4 linked regions of the Drosophila melanogaster genome follow. The protein of the gene in region 2 interacts with the protein of the main gene of each other region in a pairwise test. Each region holds a gene or a part of one and is shown on either strand. Other genes may lie near its edges.

Region 1 (5,298 bases), on a different chromosome or scaffold from region 2:
GAGTCTCGAAAAATGACCTATCAAACGGTAGGCTATCACTTTTAAGTTTGTCAATATTCCACCTTGAAATACCTCATCAGTTACTATAGTAAATTCCAAATTATCTTCCTCCGTAAGGATACAATGCTGAAGTTGGTCGAAAAGCTTTTCCAACTGTTGCGACCCAGGATGTGTCAGTTTTCACAATCCAACAAGTGAGTTCCGTGTTCTGAGCACTTATGGCTTCGCTTATTAGATGCATCTCTGTATCCAGGAACATATCCAAGCATTTGTTCGAAAAAGCCAGGGCGGAGGAGAACATACATTTCCTTAAACTGGTTGGTTTGTGATCTCAAAAAACGAAAGTAATCTATTTAAATTTAATTGCAAATTTACCCAGCAACGGGAACAGCTGAAGTCGTTGCGAGAAAAGATTCTCAGCCAGAAGAACGAAGTCACAACAAAGATCATCAAGGTGGATAAGCAGATACAATCGTTGGAAAAAACCAAGACCGAAGGCTCACAGATGAACCATGAACAAAATTAATAAAGTGTAGCTGAAACATTTGCTTGTTTTGTTTTGTATTTTATTTAAAATAATTTGTATCTCTCATTTACACGCTTTACAAAGAAGTCTTCTACGACAACTGAAGCCGAGTTGGCGGCCTTCTTCAAGCCTGCTTATACGTAGGGTACATACATATCATATATTATATATGGTAACAATTTGTTTTGCAGCGCAAACGGAAAATATGAATTAAAAAGAACTTTCATGTAATATGGCATTGAAACAAACATATATAGGGTCATATATATATCAACATAGTCTATACAAAGATACAAATAAATACAAGTTCAAGTAAGAATCAAAATCAGAGACAACTGCCGATTGTGTATGATGCATTGACATATATAAGGTTCTTCTCTTAGGACTATGAAAAATAATCTTGTGTGCATTTCATGTTCGTTCAAATCGTTAGTTGTGGGGTAGCAGAGGTCAAGAACGTAAGTACAATACATTTGTGGTAGTTGAGCAACTTGGAGAGAGTGGTTCCCATACGAACTAAAACTAGAAACTAACTAAACTTGACTTGACTTGGTCAAGTGCTGGTTAGGCCAGAAGAGAGTGTGTCTGTGTGTGTGTGTCTGCTAGCTGAGTGTGTGCATATTGTGTGTGTGTGTGTGTGTGTGCTTGTGAGGTAGGCGATTCATCATCATCATCGTCATCATCATCATAAGATTATGGCATACTTCCGAGCGCCTCCTGATCCTCGCTGGGGTTCTTGGGTTCGGTTCTGTGTGTCGGGTTTCGCTTCTAGCTTTCAAATACTGATCAACAATGCCAGGAATGTCTCTCTGTGTGTCGGGTCTGGATGTGTAGCTGTGGATCCTGCTTTCAACTTAAGACTAACTCTAGTGCTAACTCTAGTCGATTCCCAATCACGCTCTCTGCCTGCGAACGTGACCGAGTTGACAGGCTTTATTTCTATAAACTAATGTAACATGAAACGGCGATGGGCTGCTGCTGCTGTTGCTGCTGCTGCTCCTTTTGCTGCTGCACTGCCTCCTAACTGGGCAGTCGCTTGCTGGCCAGCTCCAACTGCAGCTTCTGCAGCGCCAGTGTCTTGTTGATCTCCACTAGGTCGCGACTGTGCTTTGCCGCCTGCAACTGCACCTCCAGGATCTTCATGCGCATCATGTGCTCCTTGCTCTGCATCTCCATGAACATGCGCAGCTCAAAGTTGTTGTTGTTGCTGCTGCTGCTGTTGGCATTGGTGCTGACTGCCGTTCCCGGCATGGTCAATCCATTGCTGCTGCCGGACCGCTCTAGGGCCTGCGAGTCCGAGGATGCTGGCACTGATGGGGCCAGGACTGGTGCCTGATCCTCGCTGCCCAACATGCTACCACTGCTGGTGCGCTGTCTCTTAGACTGCGGCTTCATGCTGTCCTCGTCGTCCTCGTTGTTGTTGTTATTGTTGTTGTTGTTATTGTGCTGGTGATGCATGGCGACCTGGGCCTGTGCCTGGTGCTGGTGAATGGCGGCCGCTGCCGCTGCTGCTGCACTGGGAAATTGGCCAGAACGGAGGGCATTCAGTGCCTCCAGCGTGGCGGATATGTTGTTCATGTTGAAGTTGGCCTGGAAGCCGGACATGTCACCTCCTCCGGCCATATAGGCACCGCTCGAGTCCAGGACATTAGATGTGGAAATCGTGGCGGGACTCTCGGCCTCGTGGATCCCGTTGCGACTGATGCTGTGATTAGGCGACACACTGAGACGCTCGCCGCTGCCAAGGATGTCGCTCTGGTTGAGGTGGTGATGGTTGAAGGTCTCGTTGAAGGTCTCGTTGTTCTCCTCCTCCTTGATGTCCACATCGCACAGTTCCTGCGGCGGTGTGCGGCTGCTGCTCAAATAGAGAATGCTCAATAAAGATCTATTCAGACTACCACATAGCGATCAACTTACTCATCCATGTCGTGGTCTTCGGGATTGAATTTGTAATCCTCACGATACTCAAAACCCTCCTCCAAGGCCAGTGGAATCTTAGAGTAATCAATGCCATCCAGGGCCTCCGATTTGCATGCCTTCTTCGCCTCCTGCATGAAATCCCACACCTCGAAGGTGAACGGAGATGGCTTCTTGCGATCGGCCACCTCTGCTCCAAACCTGGCCAGGCGATTATTGTAGTCCAGGATCTCGTTGCGAGTACATGCTAAAGGATGAGATCGAAAAGGTTAGCTTTGCCATTAAATATATGTATTTTATAAAGACTTACCCTTCATGCGACGCCACTGTTCCTTCAGGCGATTGCAGGTGCGATCGGTGCCAAACTGATTGGAGAACTTCTGGTGGATAATCTTCCATGCCTTGTTCTTCACGGCGGTCAGACCGGCATCCAATCTCTTGTTCTCGATAATGCGCATGTCCTTGCGACACAGATCGAGTAGGTATTTCTTCTCCTGGTGGTTCCAGTTCTGGGTGCGTTCCCTCTTCTTGTACATGTTCATGGAAGGACTGTTCATGTACTGTGTCATTTCTGCAAGCATTCGATGATTGAATTAAGTTCCTTCAACGGTCACTTCGTTTTGTTTAACTTACCCGTCTTTATGTCGACGCCCTCCAGCAAGTTGTGATTGGAATTTTGCCAGTTGGCGGCAATCTTCATAAAAGCCTCCAGATCGGTGGCCGAATACTGTTTGTTGACCTGCAACGGAAGCAAGAAGCGAGTGGCAGGAGGTGAGAAATCAGTGATTCGTATTGGGAGGTAACTAGTAACTGGCAAGAGTCCCCAAATTACCCGCACAGTGGAATTAGAAGCCCCAGATTGGCCTTCCCAGTAGTTGAGCATACAAAACTTGTGCCAAATTCCGCACCAAACGAAAGCGATTCGCGGGACGCACTCGAAAACCCAATGAACTTGGCGATGAATACTGCCAAAGTCGAAAGCAATCGAAAAATTTGGAGTTTTTCGGTAATTATCAGAGTGTTACTTGGGGCACATCAATTGGGTTTTTGTTTTCAGACAGTAAGGTCAGTGAAAACAAAAGGATTCTGATTCGGATTCTGAATCTGAGTCGTTGAGTCTTGAATTCCTTCTCTTGTTTTCATTCCCTTATTCCATCGAATTTACCCTACCCTGGATGATATCTGACTTTGACATGAGCAGCTATAGGATGCAGTCACATTAATTGATTTTCAATTAGCAGACAGGCGGACAGATGAACCGAGCGGAGAAGGGGGGGAAGGAGGTGTGAGCGATATCGGGGGTATATGGGTACGAATGGGCTAAAAAGAATGTGAATATACGAACAATCGAATGAATTGAGCAGCCATAAGACGAAAAAAAAAAAAGTAAAAAACCATCAAATAATAATGCCATGAAACGCGTTTTAATTTATAAGCTAACACAACAAGCAGCTGCCGACATTTTGTTTGTTTCGAAAATGTATCTGTGCGGTTGCTCGGTATCCGAATCCGAGTATTGGTGCGATTGAGTGGAGCGATCAAGAGACATACTGACAGCCAATTATATCTAATCAAGTACATATATATTCAAATGTACTATATAAATATTCCAGAATGTGCATTTACTCAACGCGTTCTTCGGTCGCTTTCTGGCTCCTTCGATTGTTCCCCCGTCTCGAAATCAGACACAAAAATTCCCTCATAATTTAGTAATAAAAGAATATTAACTAAATTGGGAAGAGCATAGAATTATCAATAACCCTTTGCAGACAACACGAATGCCCAAATCCAAAAAAGAGCTCAACTGTACTTGCCATATATTGTCTTCATCGAAACTCTTTCATTGATCGCTCCCCCAAAAAACACAATCGTCAATCTTAAGTACGTTTTATGGTGCTTTATTTTATTTCAATTTTGTTCAGTTCCTTCCGTGCCCCTCAACTACCCCACCCCCACCCCCCCTGCAGCCATCGAACACCCACAACTCTTGGGTGTATAAACTACTGCGCCATGTGTTCAATATTTATGCCGTATCTGATTTACAATTTATACTTATACTCGGCACTCGTATGTGTACCTCGTACACTCGAACTACGTATCTAGATACATACGTATATATGTACATTCGCATTTATCGCGTACTCGAAGACTGAAAGGAGACTTAGTCATTGGAGACGCGGCGCGTGCGCTTATTATTTTTTATTATTTGAGCTCTTCCTATATACATATATAAACTCATATTTATTAGCAAACAATTAATTATTACGGCCGACTATTATGGAGCTGTTTAAATTTTAGTCATGAGCTGCGGGGTGGTTAAACCGCTCCTTTTGGGAAGATACACGCAGAGAAAACGATATGCTGATTTGAGAAATCAATAGATTCTTCAATGGGAGGTTCTCGTACTTTCAAGCCCATGAGATGCCAGAGTTTCTGTCAGTGCATTCAAGGAATGCCAGAATCATTTAAATTCGAGGCGAGTGCCAATTATTCGCCAGGGTGGGGCTCCAGCCAAGTTAGTCAAAGATGAAGTTCGAAGATGCCAACTGTGAAATTCTGTGCCCGAAAGAACGCGCTGCTCTCCAGGATCTCTCAAGCGATTTGATACCATTTTTGTTTCGATTCGGAAATGTAACTAAATTACGTCAATCCGCGATGTATATTGGATTGTTTGCTGGCACTCCGCTTTTGGGGCTGGCAGCTCGCACACTCATAGAGGTAATCACACTCCTCCAATCAATGTGACTTCAAAACTAAGCATTGAAATTAAATAAGCAAACTGGTTTAGATTTTGGTCATCTACGTCTGTGAGCGTATGAGTATGACTGTTTGTTGTTATCTGCTTTTGTGGGCTG
Region 2 (4,990 bases):
CCTTTACTCGGTCATTGGCAAAGTCCCATGAAGTTCCAGCCCAGTGCGTCTTCTTTTATTTTACATAATTTCATGTTCGCCCCATGGCGTCTTGGCCAGCATGAGTTCGAGTTCCCCGGATAGTAGCCAAGCCTATATCGTGGGCATTTCTTCATCCCTATCCCAGCTTGGGCTCGGTATATAACGCTATGTGTCTGGATTAACCTTCTATATGCGGCGCTTGTTAGGCATTTTTCATTCGCTGTGACATTTCGCCTTTGTGCCTCTTAATTATTTCAAAAGCGGCTGCATTTCGCTTTAATGAAGTGAAAATTCCTTGCGTTGATACCGCACACGCAACCTTATGAAAAATTGCTTAAACAGAATACAGAAACAAAGCCCCGATATAGGGAAATATATAAAATGTATTTTCTGGGTTCGGTTACTAGGTATCAAAATATATTTCATTGATTTTTTCAAATTATATTATTTGATATGGAGTGTCTTAAGAAGCAAACAGGGGAAATTATTACGCACCTTTGATGATTTCTTCAAAGAATATTAAATTGATTTATTAAAGAAATTAAAAATTTCTTATTTTTTTTTAACTTACTAGTGTTGGTATTATTTCTTCAATAAGAAAGTCAAAGTACAAGATAAAGATTGTAAGATTAAAAATAAAATTTAAGGTGGTAGAAATATTGTTACTTAAAAAAATATGTACATACGAACAAAGCACTTTTTTATTGTAAATATTATTTGATAAATAAAATCGCATCAAATTGTTAAGAAAAAACTATAATTAAATTGCTTTAGACCAAATATTGCTACATAAGTTCTTAACACATCAAAAAAAAAAACACTAGAAAATACAAAACAAAAACTGACAACGAATAAATATCCTTTCCATGACTGTTTTCACCTGTTCCAAAGCGCTTAAAATATTTTCAGCCGTTAAACTCGTTTACTCACAATTTTAGTTAGCCGACGGCGTTCACCTCCGTTCAAGTGAGTTTGTTTTCTGATTTTCACTGCACTGAACCACGATTTTCACTTGTGCTGAGTGCGGAAATCAACGTGCACAATTACGAAGGTAGAATTGTCACAACCAGCCGGATATCTGGGAAATTAATCCGATGGCATCCTGAGGGCAAACTGGCTAGACTTTTGCGTCCTACCTGCAGGCTTATGTTTTGGATGGTTCTAATGGGTAATTGGCCGCAAAGGGCTAAGCGACGGATTTGGACGGCTTTTGGTATCACAAACACACAAGCACACGCGCAATTTGTTACAGATCACGATAAGTATATGCGCTATGACGGAGTATCTAAGTATCTGCGCGAATTTCACGCCGAATTTATGACTGTCCATCAGCGCCAGCATCGATGCAAGCACTTTGCAGTCCATCCATCTTTCGCTAAAATCGAACAGTATTCGAGGGTCTTTACACGCGGAACAGCTGAGTGTTGGATTGTTTGAGTTTTTTTATTTGTGCTTTTTTTTCTGTTATTCCGGTGTATCCGCGGATACGTGCTCGAAGCGCCAATGTCTCACTTTGACTGCTCGGGCATAATTCAAATTTCTGAGCATCAATAAAAAACACAGATACGCCAGCGCTCTGGCTCACTCATACTGCTCCATTTCCCCCGTCCAATTGTATCTGCGAGTACGAGCAAGTAAGGCTATATGGCTATACAGCTACATATCGTCGTCCAAGTGCAGTGTTCATTATTCGAAAAGTGTGCGAGAGAGACAACGGGCATTGCGCCGCTCCGCCATCTCGCTCGCTCTCAGGCATGTGCTGAAACTACCTTTGCGGACGCGAAGAACGTTTCGAATCAACCGCCAAACCAGAAATTCGTTCCCACAAATTGTATCTCACGGATACGAATACGACACATCGGTGTGTGTGTGTGTGAGTTCGAAAGAGCGGTAGTTCGAAAAGCACCGCTCTCGCGTGTTTCGAACAAGTTCTTATTGAGAGAGATCGTTACTCGGTAGTTCGAAAATCATGTTTCGAACTGCGACTAAAGTCTTATTGTTCTCACCGACACTGTCCGTGTGAGATCGATTTCGGGGGACCAAATCATAAACATTCGAACTCCGTACTTTGGGCTAGTTGGGATAAAATCAAGACTCTGGGACTCATTTTGGGAGTTTGGAGAAGTAAAATCTGTCTCTGAAGATTTAATATATATTTTTAATGTTGTTCATATATTTTTTTTTAGTTAAGTGTGCAGTTAGTTTATATAACATTTGGAGGTATTGCAAAGAAGTAAAGTAATTGGATTTCTGAACTTGCTAAAATAATATATATTTATAAAAAATATATATATATATATTATATTGATTTTTTACAATTGACACCTTTTTTGTATTCTACAATATTTATTGTTTGTTAAATTGACTCTAAAATATTCAATCCTCCACACCACAGTGCAGTTTTAATTCAGAATGATTTGAGTGGAAAAGTTTAGAAAGGTTAAAAGGAACCATTTAACGATATATCGATGGTTTCATTTAAACCTTTAAGGGCAAAACTTTCTTAAATTTTCTTCTTACATTCAGAGTTTAGTTTTTCTACGTTTGTTATTTTCTTACCTTTATGTGGACGATTTGGGGAAATCCAATCAGACGCTACGAACAAGTCGTTGTAATTCAATTAGTTTTCTTAGCCAGCACTTCACTGTATACTTTTTATTTTCGTATTAATTGTATTTGCCTTTTGCACTGCACTTTGCTATCTTAGTTATTTGCGAAGATGAGCAGTTTGAGAAATTATTTGAGGTGGGTAGGTAATTCCGCTCCTATGTAAAGGAGTTAGTCGGTAAAGTATCCGCTATGGGGAGACCATGGCACCTTGCCGTCGCCAAAGAGCTTTCCATGGAATCGCAAGACTGGCTTTCAAGCGGAAACTTCGCGGATTGCTACGCGTACGAATACGAGAACGTGTATCTGTATCTTTTTATGTTTGCAGAAGACCGAGCGCGCTGCTTGGCGACTGAAGTGCGCCACGTTCAATTCACGTTTGAGCCATAAAAACCGACAAAACGACCCTCTCGTGCGTTGCCTTGTGTGCGTTTCGAACACTGTAAATCATTTGAGGACCCGGCCAACGAGTGCGAGAGAGAGGACGGACAGTGCGCATTTTCGAAAATCCTGCTGTCCCACTTGCACCCACGGCAGACTCCGCCCCCAGTCTTGATTTATGCGACGAGGGTGCCACGGCAACCGGCCTATGGCGCTCCAGCTTTTCCCTCGATTTGGGGAAAAGCGCGCTCTCGAGAAAAGCGAGAAATACGAGAAAAGCGAGAAAAAACAGGTAGTTGGCAGCCACTCCAGGACACATCTGCCCCCGGTTCACGCTCCAGATTAGGCCGAAATCATCCTAGATTAGGCGTCTCCCCCACTTTATTTGTATTCAATCGTGGCACTGTTCCGCTAAATCACCGCCACATTATTATTTCGCATTATTATTTTATAAACGTTCCGCTCCGCGTTCATTTCCATTTTTATTGGCCTGGCAAAATGCAAAGTCTCCTGCTGAAGCTTAAGTTATTCCTCCTTTAAAACGAGCTCGTTGGCAGTTGTCTCTGAATTTAAATTTATCGGTCTGTTTCGGGGCTGCGGATCGGGTTCTCTTTGGGCCGTAGCCAAGTTCAAGTTCTCATGATTCATTCAGCATCGGGGCTTAACGATTTTGATTTGTTTGGCTAAATGCCTTAATTAAAAGTCGATTTCATATTTGCTACCAACAATCCAGCATCGCATTCAGAGCTGAACACACATATGGTTTGATTTTGGCGTCATTTGAATTTGAATTCAATTGATTAGTTTGTCTCGGAGATTTAAATGTTGATTAGCTATTTTTTATCATAAAAATGAGTTGCTGGTTAAGACACACCCAAAATCGATTTTGAATGAGATTATTTTTTTTATTTTTATTTTTGGAATCTAACGTTTATGTTGCGAAACCACAAACATATACCAAATACAGATAAATGGCATAGGTCATTCGTAATATATTGCAAAAGCAAAAGTTTGTTTTAATAAGTATTTATAGTGAGTGTCTTAAAAATTATCTTATTTAAAAACGTATAAACTTAATACGTTTATTTGATACGAACTTGTAATAAAAGTGTTTTTTTAAGTGGTACTGAACGGTTACTTTCGAAACCCGAAACGCGAAATCAGCAATTCTTTCGAAAATATGTTTATTAAAATATAAATAAATTTTGTAAGTACGTATTTCGGAATTTATAGCTTAAGTTTATGTACCAATTCGATTTGTTCTTCTTATAGAAGTCGTATTTTTTGCCATATGTTTTCCGCTGTGTTTTTGAAACACACATGTCAGCTCTTTATGGTTGGCCCGCATCATCCACAAACCATATAAAAGTATAGAAAAAAACAAATGATGGAAAATAAATGAAAAACTAAAAAAAAAAAATCATAAGAGAGACGCCTGCGTGTACTTCTGTAATTGGAGTTGATGTTGGCGATGCCAGCGGGCAGCCAGCGCCAGACTCTCGTATCCCAATCCATAGCATAGCATAGCATCCTCTCGGATCCCATTCCATTCTAGATCCATGGAGGGTCCCCAGCAGCATCCAACATGTTGCAGGCGATTTTTCATCATCGCTTGCATGTTGCCTCCGATTGTAAATGTTGCCCCTCGCACACACACGCTCAATTTTTAATATGAAACAATCAGCAGCGTTTGTATTTTGTTTTTAGTTAAAGAAAACAGCGCGTAACGCGAAGTTGGAATTTTTGAATTAAATCTGGACATAGAAAAAACACAAAGAAAAACTTTGTAACTTATGTAACGCACTTATGGTAACTTTTATAATACAATGTAACATATTTATAACTAATTTTAAATTTACTTTTCCAAACATTAAACTGTTTATTTAAACAAATTTTTTTTTCTTTTCCATACACAATTACTGAATTTTATTACTATTTGGGGCTTTATATTTGAATAGCAAGAGAGGTTAAAATTAATGTT
Region 3 (7,562 bases), about 11 Mb from region 2:
GATTTGTTTCATATAAATATATTATGGGTATGCTGCTCTAACTGCTAGGCTAAATAGCGTACAATATTTGCAAATTTGAGTCGTGGAGTAGTAAACATGTTTTATATAGTATGTGTGTATAATAGTGGCATGTGGCATGAATGTCTGGATGTCATATAGCTATCTATGTATGCATGTGGCAGAAATCGGGGGATATATATGTACTCAATCAAGGTGGTAAACGCCTACGCCTTAAGTTAGACAATTCAAATTCAACTGTACAATTATATTCACGCGTTTACTGAAATGGTAAGAGCATAGTTGTGATACCAGATTATTGCACAATTAGATCTAATTGATAGGGCTATAGCTAAAGCAACGCTAGCAGCAACATGCATTGGGTAAAAGATATAAGAAATAAGAATATATATAAGAAGGTCATTCAGGGCTAAGCTTCACTGTGGCATGCGTTGGAGCAAAAGGGTAATCTTGAAATGCATATGCAAACGAAATTGGAGCTAGACAATCGATCTCGTTGGGGATTCTTGATCTTTATTGGTACTATGCATGATCACTAAAGATAGGTATTTTGTATGTGTATATATATATAGCAATTGGCTTGCATCCGTTGCCACGCCCCCACTCTAAGCCCCCAAATGCAAATGCATCGTTCAAAATTGTTTGTTCTCTAGTTGTGCGGATTCTATCCTTCATCTCTGGACTTGGACTTGTGCTTCTATATATGTATGCTTTCTGGCCTTAGTCTGGAGTGTGTAGGTCTATTTGGGTAAGTTCTGTGGTTTGACTATCCTCCTCATTGGAGCTACGAATATTGGTGGCGTCGGCTGGCCAGCTCTCTCCTAGTAGTTTCCATCCGGCGGCGGCGTTGTGAGGTACTCATCCGTCCGCTTGTGCTCGTTTAGCGCCTTCACGGTTCCACTGTCCGATGGCAGGTCCGATTTCCGGCGCAGCAGCGGCTTGTCCTTGTTCCGTTCGCCACGAATCTGTGTGGAACGGGAAGGGGGGTTTGGCAATAGAAAATGGACCCGCTTCTGACACTAAGGCATCGCAGCACACACACACACACACACTGGGCGGGTGAAGTTACACGGTGGTGCGGGATGATTGCGTTACGATATCGAGTGCTGTGGTGCTGGATGGAAACTCGATGACCACCAGTTGGACAACACACGACTACGATATATATATACATCTACACCCGAATGTCGAATTGTGTTACAAAGGTCTGAGATCGAGGAGTGTTGTATGGTTTCTGGTTCTGAGTTGTTAACAACATGATACATTTGACACTAGTTTTTAATAGTTATGTGCACAGATTTTACTCTAACTGGGATTCATGCTTAAAAATGGTGATTCACTTGAGGAAAATTATGTTAAGTGTTCAAATTAATAAATGAGAATCATATTGATGTTACAAAAGGAACGCGTTCTCTCATTAAAATGACCACAAATGAGTTAAAAGATGGACCAAAGTGTAATTAACATCTAAGTAAGATAAACTACATATTAATTCCGCCCAATTCGTATGCGGTTAACCAAAAGTGCAGGAGAAAAGTTGTTGTGTCGTGGATGAATTTGCATGGATGCGTTTGGTTTGGCAGACAGTGAGGTTACCAAATAATTAATAAATAAATAGACAAAGTTAAAGATATACAAATATGTATTTTTTTTTTTTTAAATGACATGAGTGTGATTATTTTAACAGACATTCGTTCGATTAGAATTAGAGTTGAAACAGAGTGGGCCTTAGCTGGGCACAGCTCACAGCGACGCCAGGATCACACGTGGCGGATTAGTAGTTGTTTAGTGTTGTTAATGTGGCAAGTGCCTGTCTCACCTCTCGGGGCTCCTGGTGCGCCTGTTTCTGTGGCGGCAGCGGAGGCGGCGGCTGGCGCGCCCTCTGCTCGCTCTGATCATACGCTGAATCGCTGTTCTCACTATATTGATCGCACAGGGCCCGGCTGTCGCTGACCGGCAGGCAGTCGTTAAACCGGCGCGCCTTTGTCCACTCCGGGTTGGTCTTGGCCAAGCTCTCCACCTGTTGCCAGAGCTCCTCCCTTTGCGACAGCTTCTCACGCTCCCTGCAATGCAAAAAAAAAAAAAAAACGCCAATGTTTAGTACAAAGTAATAAAACGTGAGTGCATCGTCCCATGGAAGTTAATTATCAACTAAAGTTAACACATACATCTGCTTCTCTTGCTTGTAGTTCTTGCTGCACTCGTCAAAAAGCCGCTGATCTATCTCCATGAACAGCTTGAGTGCATTGTAGATCAGACCATGGATGGTCTTGTTCCAGTGCGTCTTTGAGTTGCGATTGAGCGCTGGGAACATAATGGGTAATATCACCGCCGAGTTATCCGTTATCAGCGACATAATGTACTCGTTGTTCCAATAGTACAACGCACGTTCGGCCACCTGGAAATGAGGCGAAGAGACGCACTTGGCTATTTGGCGGAACAGCGGCACCATCACCTTCTGGAACTCGGCCGGCTCAATTACGTCCAACAGCTCCTCCAGCTCGTTCAAAAACATAACCTCCTTGGGACTGTGCGTCTTGGGCCAAAATTTAAGTAGGCTTCTGCAAGAATATTGAAATATGGCAGCGATAGGCTAATTAGAAAATGCGCAAAATAAGGAATTCTTTACTCACTTGATGACCGCCTCCGATAAGCTAGGATCCTTCTCCAGGAACTGCACCACACAATAGGTGAGCTGCGGATGGTAGACCGAGAGGCTCTTGGCTTTGTGCAATGGCAGCAATACCTTAAGTAAAAATTGTTTATGCTCCTCCTTAAGCGGCAGAGCAAAGCCATTGATAATGCTACCCAGGATTTCCAACAATTCGGCTATGCCATTATGATGCTCCGTTTCATAAATAAATCTAAATGTGGAATGCGATTAGTAATGTGAGGCATTAACCTTATAGATATTCCAATGACGAGCTCACCTGTAAAAGACATTGTTGATCTGCTTTCTAATAAATGCTCTCAAGCCCAAAAATTTTCCATAGATGCGATGTAAAACAGTCTTCAGGAAATCACGTTCACGTGGATCCTCCGAATCGAATAAATCCAATAGTTGTAATACAAATTGATGGTCGATAAAACGTTTTGCCATGCTTGGTTGAAAATCTGGTGACTCCAAGAAGCGCAAGAACAGCTCGTAAACGAGTTGCAGATGCGGCCACGAGGACTCCAACGTGGGCTCATCCTCCTCCGGATCGAATTCGGCACCATTCGGGTTGGACGATGGCGGCAGAGTTCGGAAAAGGTTGACAGCAAACTGATGAGAACAGATAAGTATGTTGTGGTAAAAGCATGTGATATTATTTTAAATATGTAAATTAGTAGCTTACCATATTGATCGCCTCCGGGTAAATAACTTCGGTTATTACGCCATTTTGGTTGGTGAGGAAATCGACCATTTCGTGCAGAGCCGCCCGCTTCACCTCCTTGAACTTGAGGTCGCTGAGCGGCTCGGAGAAGTCGAACAGTGTGCAGCATTGCTGGATCTTCTGTATGAACAGCTCCTCACGTTCACTGGCGGCGGTCTCTATGGAAATACAAATGAAATCATCATTAATTTTTTTAAATATATAATATAAGTGATAGATATATCAAACAAAATGTAAGCCATATAAAATTGACCTTAATATAAAATTAAAAAAAAAAAACCTACAACTACAAAAACGACCAACCAAAAGCAGGCAAGCGAAACTCAAAACGAACATAATGAAGATCGGAAGAAAGGATCAAGTAGCCGGAGGACCTCAGGCCCAAGGGCAATGGCTGGAATGGCTCCATCCATCGCCATTGGCCCGGATCCATTCGGGATAGCAACCTCGCAGTGCAGGCAGCGCCATGGCAACCGAAGCGGTGGGTGGCGTGTAGAATAGATTCCGGTCGCGAGCCCTTCCCGGACTGCCCGTCAGCTGTTGGAGCGTCTGGGGCGAGGGCTGAAGACCCGCCGGATGACCCGGCAGTATGTCACCGTTCTGCCGGATGCTTAGGCTCGATGTGGTCACCACCATGGTGGCGTTAGGTGTCACCATTACTGCTGATGACGCAGGTGCTGCGCCGCCATTGCGCTGGCCAATTCCCAATGAGATGCTAATGCCGCCCACCAGATTCTGGGCCACCGTCGGACGCATCTCCTCTGCGGGCACATCGCTGGTGGTGGGAACAGCGGCGACGGCGGTGGCGGCGGACGACGGCACAGCCGCCGCAGAGGATGGGGATGATGAGGAGGAGGTGGCCGCCGCTGCTGCCGCCGCCGCAGCACTAGTACCCACACTCTTGGTGGCATTCAGTATGTTCTTTATGGCCGCGGCCGCGCTCACAGGTGACTGGATGATGAGGAAGCGATGAAATGAGAGCAGAGTATGGTTTTGGTTTATCAAATTTCGGTTTGTTCAATTGGGATGGAGTTAGTGTTGGTGGATAGTGTGTGAGATGCTACTAAATGTATTAGCTTCTAGCGTACAATGTAAATAAAACTTTGATTAACAAGGTACTTGAATTGTTATTTTTTTCTTTGAAACTTAGTTATCGTTATCCAAAAAGCTAACACAATTAGTGAAAGTTTGGAAGAAAGTGTAAAATTTGTGGTTTGTACTTGGAGGTGGTGATGTGGTTATGTTTTGGGTTTTCAGATCGCTGGGTGTGTGTGTATGTGGACAAGACCAAGCTGCAAACCTTGCTGGCGGCGATGGAGCTGCTGGCTGCGTTGTTGGTGGCGGTGGATGAGGAGGAAGCTGACGAGGAGGACGCCGCCGAGGCAGAGGATGCCGCAGCGGCTGCCGCCGATGCTGCGGCGGATGTGGCCGCCGAGAAATGTTGTGCCAAAGTGGACACAAGTGAATTGCTGCCGCTAGCAGCGCCCGTTGACGTTGTTCCAGATCCAGATCCAGATCCTGCTCCTGCCGCGTTCTTCGACATGCCGGCATTCGAGGATAGCGAGAGCGAAGAAGTGGAGGACTGCGATCCAAATGGCGAGGAGGCAATCAGTGCAGCTGCAGCCGAATTCGCTCCACCACCGTATGTGGCGGCCGAGGATGAGGCCGAGGAGTTAGCAGCCGCCGAGGCTAGCGAGGATGAGGCCGCCTGTGAAAGCGAGGACAGGGCCGAGGCCGACGAATTGGAGCTGGTGGACGAGGACGATGGTGAGGAGGATGTGGTGGGTGCTCCGGATCCGGCTGCTCCTCCTGCTGCTGCCTCTGGCGGTGAGAGGGGCGTTTTCCGCCCCTCGAACTTGGCCTTTAGCTCCTCCACGCTGCTAAACCTGAATCGGCTGCCGGTCTGTTGCTGCTCCTGCTGCTGATCCTGCACCTGATCGTCCAACTCGTCGTCGGCCAGCTGATCTAGGCCGCTGTGAAACGATGGAGATTTGGGTATGCGTATGCCGAGGGCATAATACCCGGCTGCAATGGGCTGCGTTTCCTGCTCCTTGCTGGAGGATTTAATGGGCGCCGGTTTCTTTTGCTCTTGCTGCTGCTGTTGCGATTGCTGCTGCTGCTGCTGCGGCTCCTGCTGATGTTGCTGTTGCTGCTGTTTGGGACCTTTGAGCCCGTTGCCCGTCAGCAACATAGCACCGAAGACCATCTCATTAGTGCCGGCACTTGGAGCAAATGGCACTCGGTTTTAATCTTGATACGGAACGCTTGTTTTTTTTACCAGCCGCCCCCGCCGACCAACAACAACACATGAGAAAGACTACACTAGAAACTCAATTTGGGCACGCTAAGTATGAAACTATAGAATCTGTAATGGAATTGCAATATAGATAATGGTTTAGATTAACGCCAAATGCGATTATGCGCTGATGGTAACACAAAACGAAATGAAATGCAATTGGAAATGAAAATGGAAATGACAACGCCTCTGCTAAAATTCTTCTTTTGCCTCACAAATGGCCATAATTACGTGGAAAAACTTACGGTTCGAATGGGAACAAATGAGGGAATAGGATAGGAGAGCAATTAACTTGGGAAACGAATATTTTCAACTAATATTAAAGTTTTCGGGGCACACGACGTTCACGGTCTTGAAACGGTTTTTTTTTTGTTGCTTCGACTGCTGCGCCAATCGGAAAAATCGATATCGAGAGAGAATGAAATGGAGAGAAATTTGGTGAGCAGCAGACAGAGAGAAAATAAAGAGAGAGAAAGTGGGCTGGTGGGCGAGCGAGCCACAATAACAATAAAACCTAATAAAATAAAATAGTATTGAACAAGCGAAATTTGTTTATTCGATTTGTGAGTCGAAACCGCCCAAGCAATTAGCAGAAAGGTATGTGAATAACGCAATGCGATGACATTCATGCTGCACAGAAAAAAAAAGTGTAGCAATTTCATAATCATTACGCGCAGATATGTACATATATGATTTTCAAAAATATTGAATTTGCTTTTTTTTAAATTAATTCCCTGCAGGATACAGTTTTTCTAATTATTTGTATACACAAGTTTAAATCAATCGAATACATTTGTGTCATAAAGAAATGCCGGTGTATATATGAAATTTAAGACGGTCTGAGAAATCCTCTAACGATGCTTTCTCCCAGTGTAATGAGAGGCTGCGGAGAGAGCGCATGTGTTGAAATTCCGGTGAGTGAGAGAGGTGGAGAGAGGTGTGAATTGATGCGGCTGCTTGGTTCACATGTGTGAGTGGCCGTGCGTCAGTGTTGCCACCCACCTAATCAGACGACACTCCCTTGACCTTTAACTTTAACAAATAATAAACAAATTACAACAGCTGAGCGAAATTAATCAAGCGCCGGCCAATCAATATTCCCAACAAGCTTGCAGGTCGTAGGTACACTTTACAGAGAATGCCTCTTGTAAGTTAAAGCTGAACTTATAATCATGGAAATTTACCGGAGTTAATTGACATAATATATGTAATTATGCATCGTTAATGGGAATTACTACGATTTATACAATCTGTTTTGAGTGTATAGTTGCATAAAAACTTAATTGACGATGTTGGTAGACAGTAAGAAAGGTAATTTTATATCGCCTAAACGGAACCCTGCCCTAAAATGTATGCTACGACATGGCTACGACCAAGTTCTACCCCATGCAACCGATCTGCAGGCTTAAGAGATATCGATCTGAACAGCTGGCAGTACATGTATTATAAAGTAATATACTAAGTAGTAGGATCTACTCCAAGGCTACTCACTCTCGTTTAGCGGAATGAGGGCCGTCAGTTCGCAGTTCTTGGAGGCATTGTACCGGGCGCTGGTCTGGCGCTTCTCCTTGCGAACGATCGGGGTGCCGGTGATGTTCAGGACCTTGCTGATCGGCGTGGGCGGCGGTGCATCGTACGGTGGTGTGTTGTCCTTGAGTTTGTTAGCCTGCAAAGGGGCATAAATGACACTTATCTGATTATCTTTTCCCATGTCAACGGTTTGGCTTATGCTTAGTAAATGAAAATAATTTTAACAACGAATGCAAAGCAATATGCGGTCAAATAAAAAGCATACTCAAAACGTAGCACTTGCAAAATCAGAGCAAAGCAGTTCAGTTCGGGATGGTCCCTCGCTGCCATTTTGGCCGGCC
Region 4 (4,602 bases), on a different chromosome or scaffold from region 2:
ATAGTTATTACACACACCGCGCAATCACTCACCGCTAATTAGCTATCCAGATTGCAAGGGGCGATTGAGCCCGCAAACAACCCATTTAGCGGCTCGTTTCTCCATTATTTTGCTTGACTAGTATAAAATACTTGGCAACGAGTTTTCTCCGCCAGCATATCATAATCTGAAATCTCGTTATTCGATTAGGCTTAAATCAAAATGATTTATACGCAACTCCAGCAAGTGCAGTTAATTACAAGTTGAAATGTCTCATTAATAATCGAGAGAGTTGCATATTGATATGCACCCGTAACGCTCAGGCTAACTAAAATAGTGGGAGTACACCCATTGGTGTGATATGGGAGAGTTGGTTGGACCTCAGGTGAGAATATAAATAAATATGAGTTGACCGATCTGAATTTTTTTATAGTAGAATTATTGTTTAAAATGTTTATTCCCTAGTATATTTTTACTATATACTGCGAAATGAAGGTTATTAATAACAGTATATCTATTTGTGCCGAATACAACACACTGTCCCTGTTAAAGCAAATCTAAGGCACGACAAATCCGTTAAGGTAGCAGAGTAAATATTACTAAACATACACATGCACCCGGAGATACAGCCACACGCACACGCACACGCCAGCGGCAAATTGTGAACATAAATCTCTCCGGTAATAGGCGCACACGGGGAAATTGGAGGGGGTGGAGAATGGAAAAGATGGCAAGCAGAGCGTAGCGTATTTTGAGTTTTTCACTTTTTCGCATGATTTATTCAATTCGACTACGTCATCGCCTTGGAAAATCTTGAAAATTCGTGTGTATCTGCATGCAAATCAAACGAGAGCGAGACAATTTGTCGCACTTTATTATTAATACTCCAGATGCACCCCCGAATACCCTCGCCCCCGCAAATATAGTGTCATAAAACCCGTTTTTAGCCTTCAGTTAATTTGCTCAGACTCAGGCTCACTCGAGTGACTGTTCGAGAGCGAGTTCGAAAAATATCTTGAACTTGTTTAATCATAATTTCAGAGAAACCCAGATACAGATACACAAACGCTTACCCCAAGTTAGTATCCCATCATCGAACTATGGCGATTTTTCTGTTATTTTCGGATTTCCCCTGCCAGCCACCCTTTTCAAATCAAGTTCTGCTTTTCCCGATCCGAGGGTCTGGACTCGTAGTCGTGAACTCAGTACTCTTGGTTCTGCGGGTGGGTGTTGTGATATATGGGCGCGCTATTGGCGAGGCGCTGAATTTATAACGACAGGTGTGCGACTACGCCGAACCGCCAATGCCAATCATCAAATGCCATGAAATCATAGTTTCTTGATATATTTATTTGGCCGATTTGTGGTTGAGAGTCTGCAATACTATTTCAACAAGTTCGGCTATCAGTTCACAATGACAATGGTTTTTGATTTTGATTGAAAACGTTCTATATTCAATATATGTCGTATATACTTGGTATATATAATATTCTATTTAACCAGATACTTGAACGCACATAAAAAGCAATTGCAAAAAAATAATATTAACTGAATGAGATGAATGTAATTATTTTATATGTGAATATTTTGAGTATGGCCACTTTTAGTTAAGAATTCAATATTTCACTATTTCATAATGAAAAACACTTTGATGCACTTTGGTAGTAAAATCTCAGTTCGTTTATCCTTCATACCCAGAGTAGTCACATTTTTGAATCCCCCGAATAAGGCCATGTGAATCTTTTTCTTAATTCTACATCTTTCACTGTTCTATGGAAATAATCTTCCATATAACACTTACCCGGCATTTAGCGCCTGTCTGTAGATCTCGAGCATCAGAGCCTCGTGTAACATTTTTAAATTTTGCTGAATTTTGACGGTTTGCTGGAACTTGGATGGTTTGCTCTTTTTGGAGCAAACAACGAGGATTTTAGTTGGATTTTGGAACTTAACTTTAGTTTGACACAATGATCATATAATCTATTGTTTTGCACTTGGTACGTTGTAGTATAACTTGTTGTTGTTGCAGCGTATAACTGATTAATTTATATTTTTTGGATTTTGTAATTTATAAACTTTCGTATGTCAGACAAAAAATGACGTTTCGAGGCGTTTGTATTTTTAATTCCTAATTTGTGTTGATTTAAATTTAATTTATTAATTGCATTGAATCGTATACTTCGTTAAGGTTTGTTGATTTAAGTAACTGGCTTTACATTATGTATGTAGTGTAATTTTGGTGAATTAAATACCGTTTAATGTAAATATTTGCAATAGTTTATCTTTAGTTTTGGTAATAAATATATTTTTGTGGTATATTTTGTTTAGCTTGTGGTAGTTTTACGTATACTTTGTTGAACCATTTGTAGTTGTATGTTTCTCGTATGTTTCAGTCTTGATCGAGCATTTGCGTTCGAGAGTATCAAACCTCTGCTTCTTTGACTAGATATGATGGCGGCCTGGAAAACACTCGTTCTATCCTCCCCCAAAAACGCGTTTTAAACTGAGAATTCACTGTTCTGGCGGAACCGCGGGTCGCGATGCGTGCGTCTTCTCATCCGGATTCGTCGTCACTACTCGAACGAAAGTCCAAAGGCGATTGAATCCCGCTGGCCGGGTTCCTTCGTCACTAGCCTCTGCTGCGGTGCTCTGCCGGTGCGCTGCTGCTGCGCTGCCGTCGCTGTCAAGCTGACAAACAACAACAACGGGGCGCTGCTGCTCTGCCTTCACTGATTGATACGGATGAAAAAATGAAGCGACGCGACGGACGCGCAGCGATTGGAAGCTGCGCTGCTGTTGACGAGCAAACACGAAGCCCGCGTTTTGGCGACGGCAATTTCTGATTCGATTTTGCGTTCTGGCGACGGCTGCGCACTTGTGTGTGTGTTGTGTGTGCCGTGTGTGCCACCCACACCCTTGCAGGACAAGCTGGCTGTCAGCGTGATTAAATGTGCTACTCTCTCGCTCGCACTCGCCGGCACTCGGCTAACTAATTACCGTACGATTTTTCCAAGTGCGCCGAGCTTTTTCGCACGATCGTACGCAGTAACGGTTTCTTGTCGACTGACTGACTCTTGGCGAAAAGAACCCGAAACCGATGGGTAGCCAAAAGAGAGCGCGAGAGAGAAGAGAGAGAGAGAGCGACAAGAGCGCAGACTTTCCCCTGTGCTGGCAAGTGAACGCTTGGAACTGAAACAGGGGAAATCGCTAGGGAAAGAGATAGCGTTGTGGGACCGCTCCGTCTCGCTTGCTCCGAAAGTGTGTGAAATCTGTTTTGTCGTTTCGTCACCCTTCTTTTGTCCTATTCCGAATCCGATTCCATCACAATTAAGATTTATGACAGTTTAACAAAAATGCTCTCACTCGCATGCGCCGTCCTGCTCGCAGCCACTCAAACTGTGTCGGTCCCTGCTCTGTTTTTATTTCTTTTCAAAATAAACAGTAGTTGTTGCTCTCTGAGCTTTTCGCCCTCGTCACTTTTAGCCTCTTCCCTCTCGCTCACCTTCCTTCATACCCTCTGCTGTCAACTTTTGTTCGCCTTTCTGCAGCTTCTTCGTGGATCTCGCTTCTTTTGTTTCGTTGCATTGCTGTGCGAGCGAGTAGGAGAGTGAAAAAGTGGAAAAGTGGTTTGGGGCAATTTTCACTTGAAATCAACCCATTCCACTTTTCTTTTTGGCTGCGAAAACAATTGAATTAGCGACACTCCGGCCGTTCTTTCCTCTGAAAATGTGCCAAAATGCCGCGATTTTATTAGTTTTCATGGCAAGGTGTCAATGTTTGTGAATGCGTGAATGTAAGGCTGTGTAAGAACATTGATGTACATATGAAAGTATAAAGCCGAATGAAGTACAAATTTGGTTTAATAAGTGCCTTTATACAGTCTAAAAGATGACAGCATTGAATACTATTTAAATACTAGTATCATTAATACTCAAGATCACGTCTAATAAGTGCATCTACAATATTTTTCTTTGTGCCGACCCTGGTTACCTTAAGTTTATATATTGCATGTACTTTTTCACATAAATTGACAAACGTATAAAATAGTAACTTTCGATACATTATAATACATTACATTATAAAACATTATATACATTATTCTATAAAATTATCAACCGGTAACCGAGCATTGCCTTGATTCCTATGCATATTTACGGAGACGACTACTGAATCAAAATTTAGTTGCGAGGAGTCCACGAAAGGTGCCCCTACTTAGCCCAAGGCATTTTAAGCCAAGGTTAAACTTCGCTAAAACCCACCTAAACTGGCCAGTCTCCAAATGGCGTAATATCCCCTGGACTGATGTGTTAAAAATAGTGCTATTTGGTGGAACTGGTTCATATGGTTATATCTGACGACCTCCAAACACCGAGTACCACCCAAAACACCCACTGAAGACTTTCAATCACGGTGGACCTGCAATACTGGTATGGGCTTGTTTATTTTTTACAATGGTATGAGTCCATAACATATGATTTATGGTATTATAGACCAAAACGCATGTGTAAATATACTAAGGGATGTCTTACTGTCATATTCTTATTATAATATGCCCTTAAAATGGAAATTCCAACAGAATAATGATCCGAATGGCAGAAGCAAATCGGTTAAGAAAAGGTTCAC

Evidence for each region.
Region 1: the proteins of Scr (region 2) and apt interact in a protein complementation assay, tested with the Drosophila melanogaster proteins (one study listed by BioGRID).
Region 3: the proteins of Scr (region 2) and wrd interact in a two-hybrid assay, tested with the Drosophila melanogaster proteins (one study listed by BioGRID).
Region 4: the proteins of Scr (region 2) and tsh interact in a two-hybrid assay, tested with the Drosophila melanogaster proteins (2 studies listed by BioGRID, with this or other methods).

Annotation. Positions count from the first base shown.
Region 1 is NT_033778.4:23,594,776-23,600,073, reverse strand, and holds apt (apontic), read right to left. Parts: upstream 3,483-5,298; 5' UTR 3,327-3,482; coding exon 3,276-3,326; intron 3,183-3,275; coding exon 3,077-3,182; intron 3,015-3,076; coding exon 2,754-3,014; intron 2,691-2,753; coding exon 2,444-2,690; intron 2,382-2,443; coding exon 1,547-2,381; 3' UTR 548-1,546; downstream 1-547. Other genes in the region: CG42559 (uncharacterized protein), read left to right, coding at 1-16; CG42560 (uncharacterized protein), read left to right, coding at 124-194, 254-317, 380-526.
Region 2 is NT_033777.3:6,846,965-6,851,954, forward strand, and holds the start of Scr (Sex combs reduced), read right to left. Parts: upstream 3,018-4,990; 5' UTR 2,581-3,017; intron 1,542-2,580; exon of another isoform or gene 952-1,541; intron 1-951. UniProt on the Drosophila melanogaster protein: Sequence-specific transcription factor which is part of a developmental regulatory system that provides cells with specific positional identities on the anterior-posterior axis.
Region 3 is NT_033777.3:18,171,324-18,178,885, reverse strand, and holds wrd (well-rounded), read right to left. Parts: upstream 6,043-7,562; 5' UTR 5,937-6,042; intron 5,761-5,936; 5' UTR 5,602-5,760; coding exon 4,696-5,601; intron 4,347-4,695; coding exon 3,842-4,346; intron 3,554-3,841; coding exon 3,357-3,553; intron 3,284-3,356; coding exon 2,949-3,283; intron 2,883-2,948; coding exon 2,652-2,882; intron 2,580-2,651; coding exon 2,187-2,579; intron 2,082-2,186; coding exon 1,838-2,081; coding exon of another isoform or gene 1,793-1,837; exon of another isoform or gene 1,645-1,792; intron 984-1,644; coding exon 840-983; 3' UTR 511-839; downstream 1-510.
Region 4 is NT_033779.5:21,827,037-21,831,638, reverse strand, and holds the start of tsh (teashirt), read right to left. Parts: upstream 3,047-4,602; 5' UTR 1,834-3,046; coding exon 1,781-1,833; intron 1-1,780. UniProt on the Drosophila melanogaster protein: Homeotic protein that acts downstream of Arm in the Wg cascade during embryogenesis to determine segment identity throughout the entire trunk.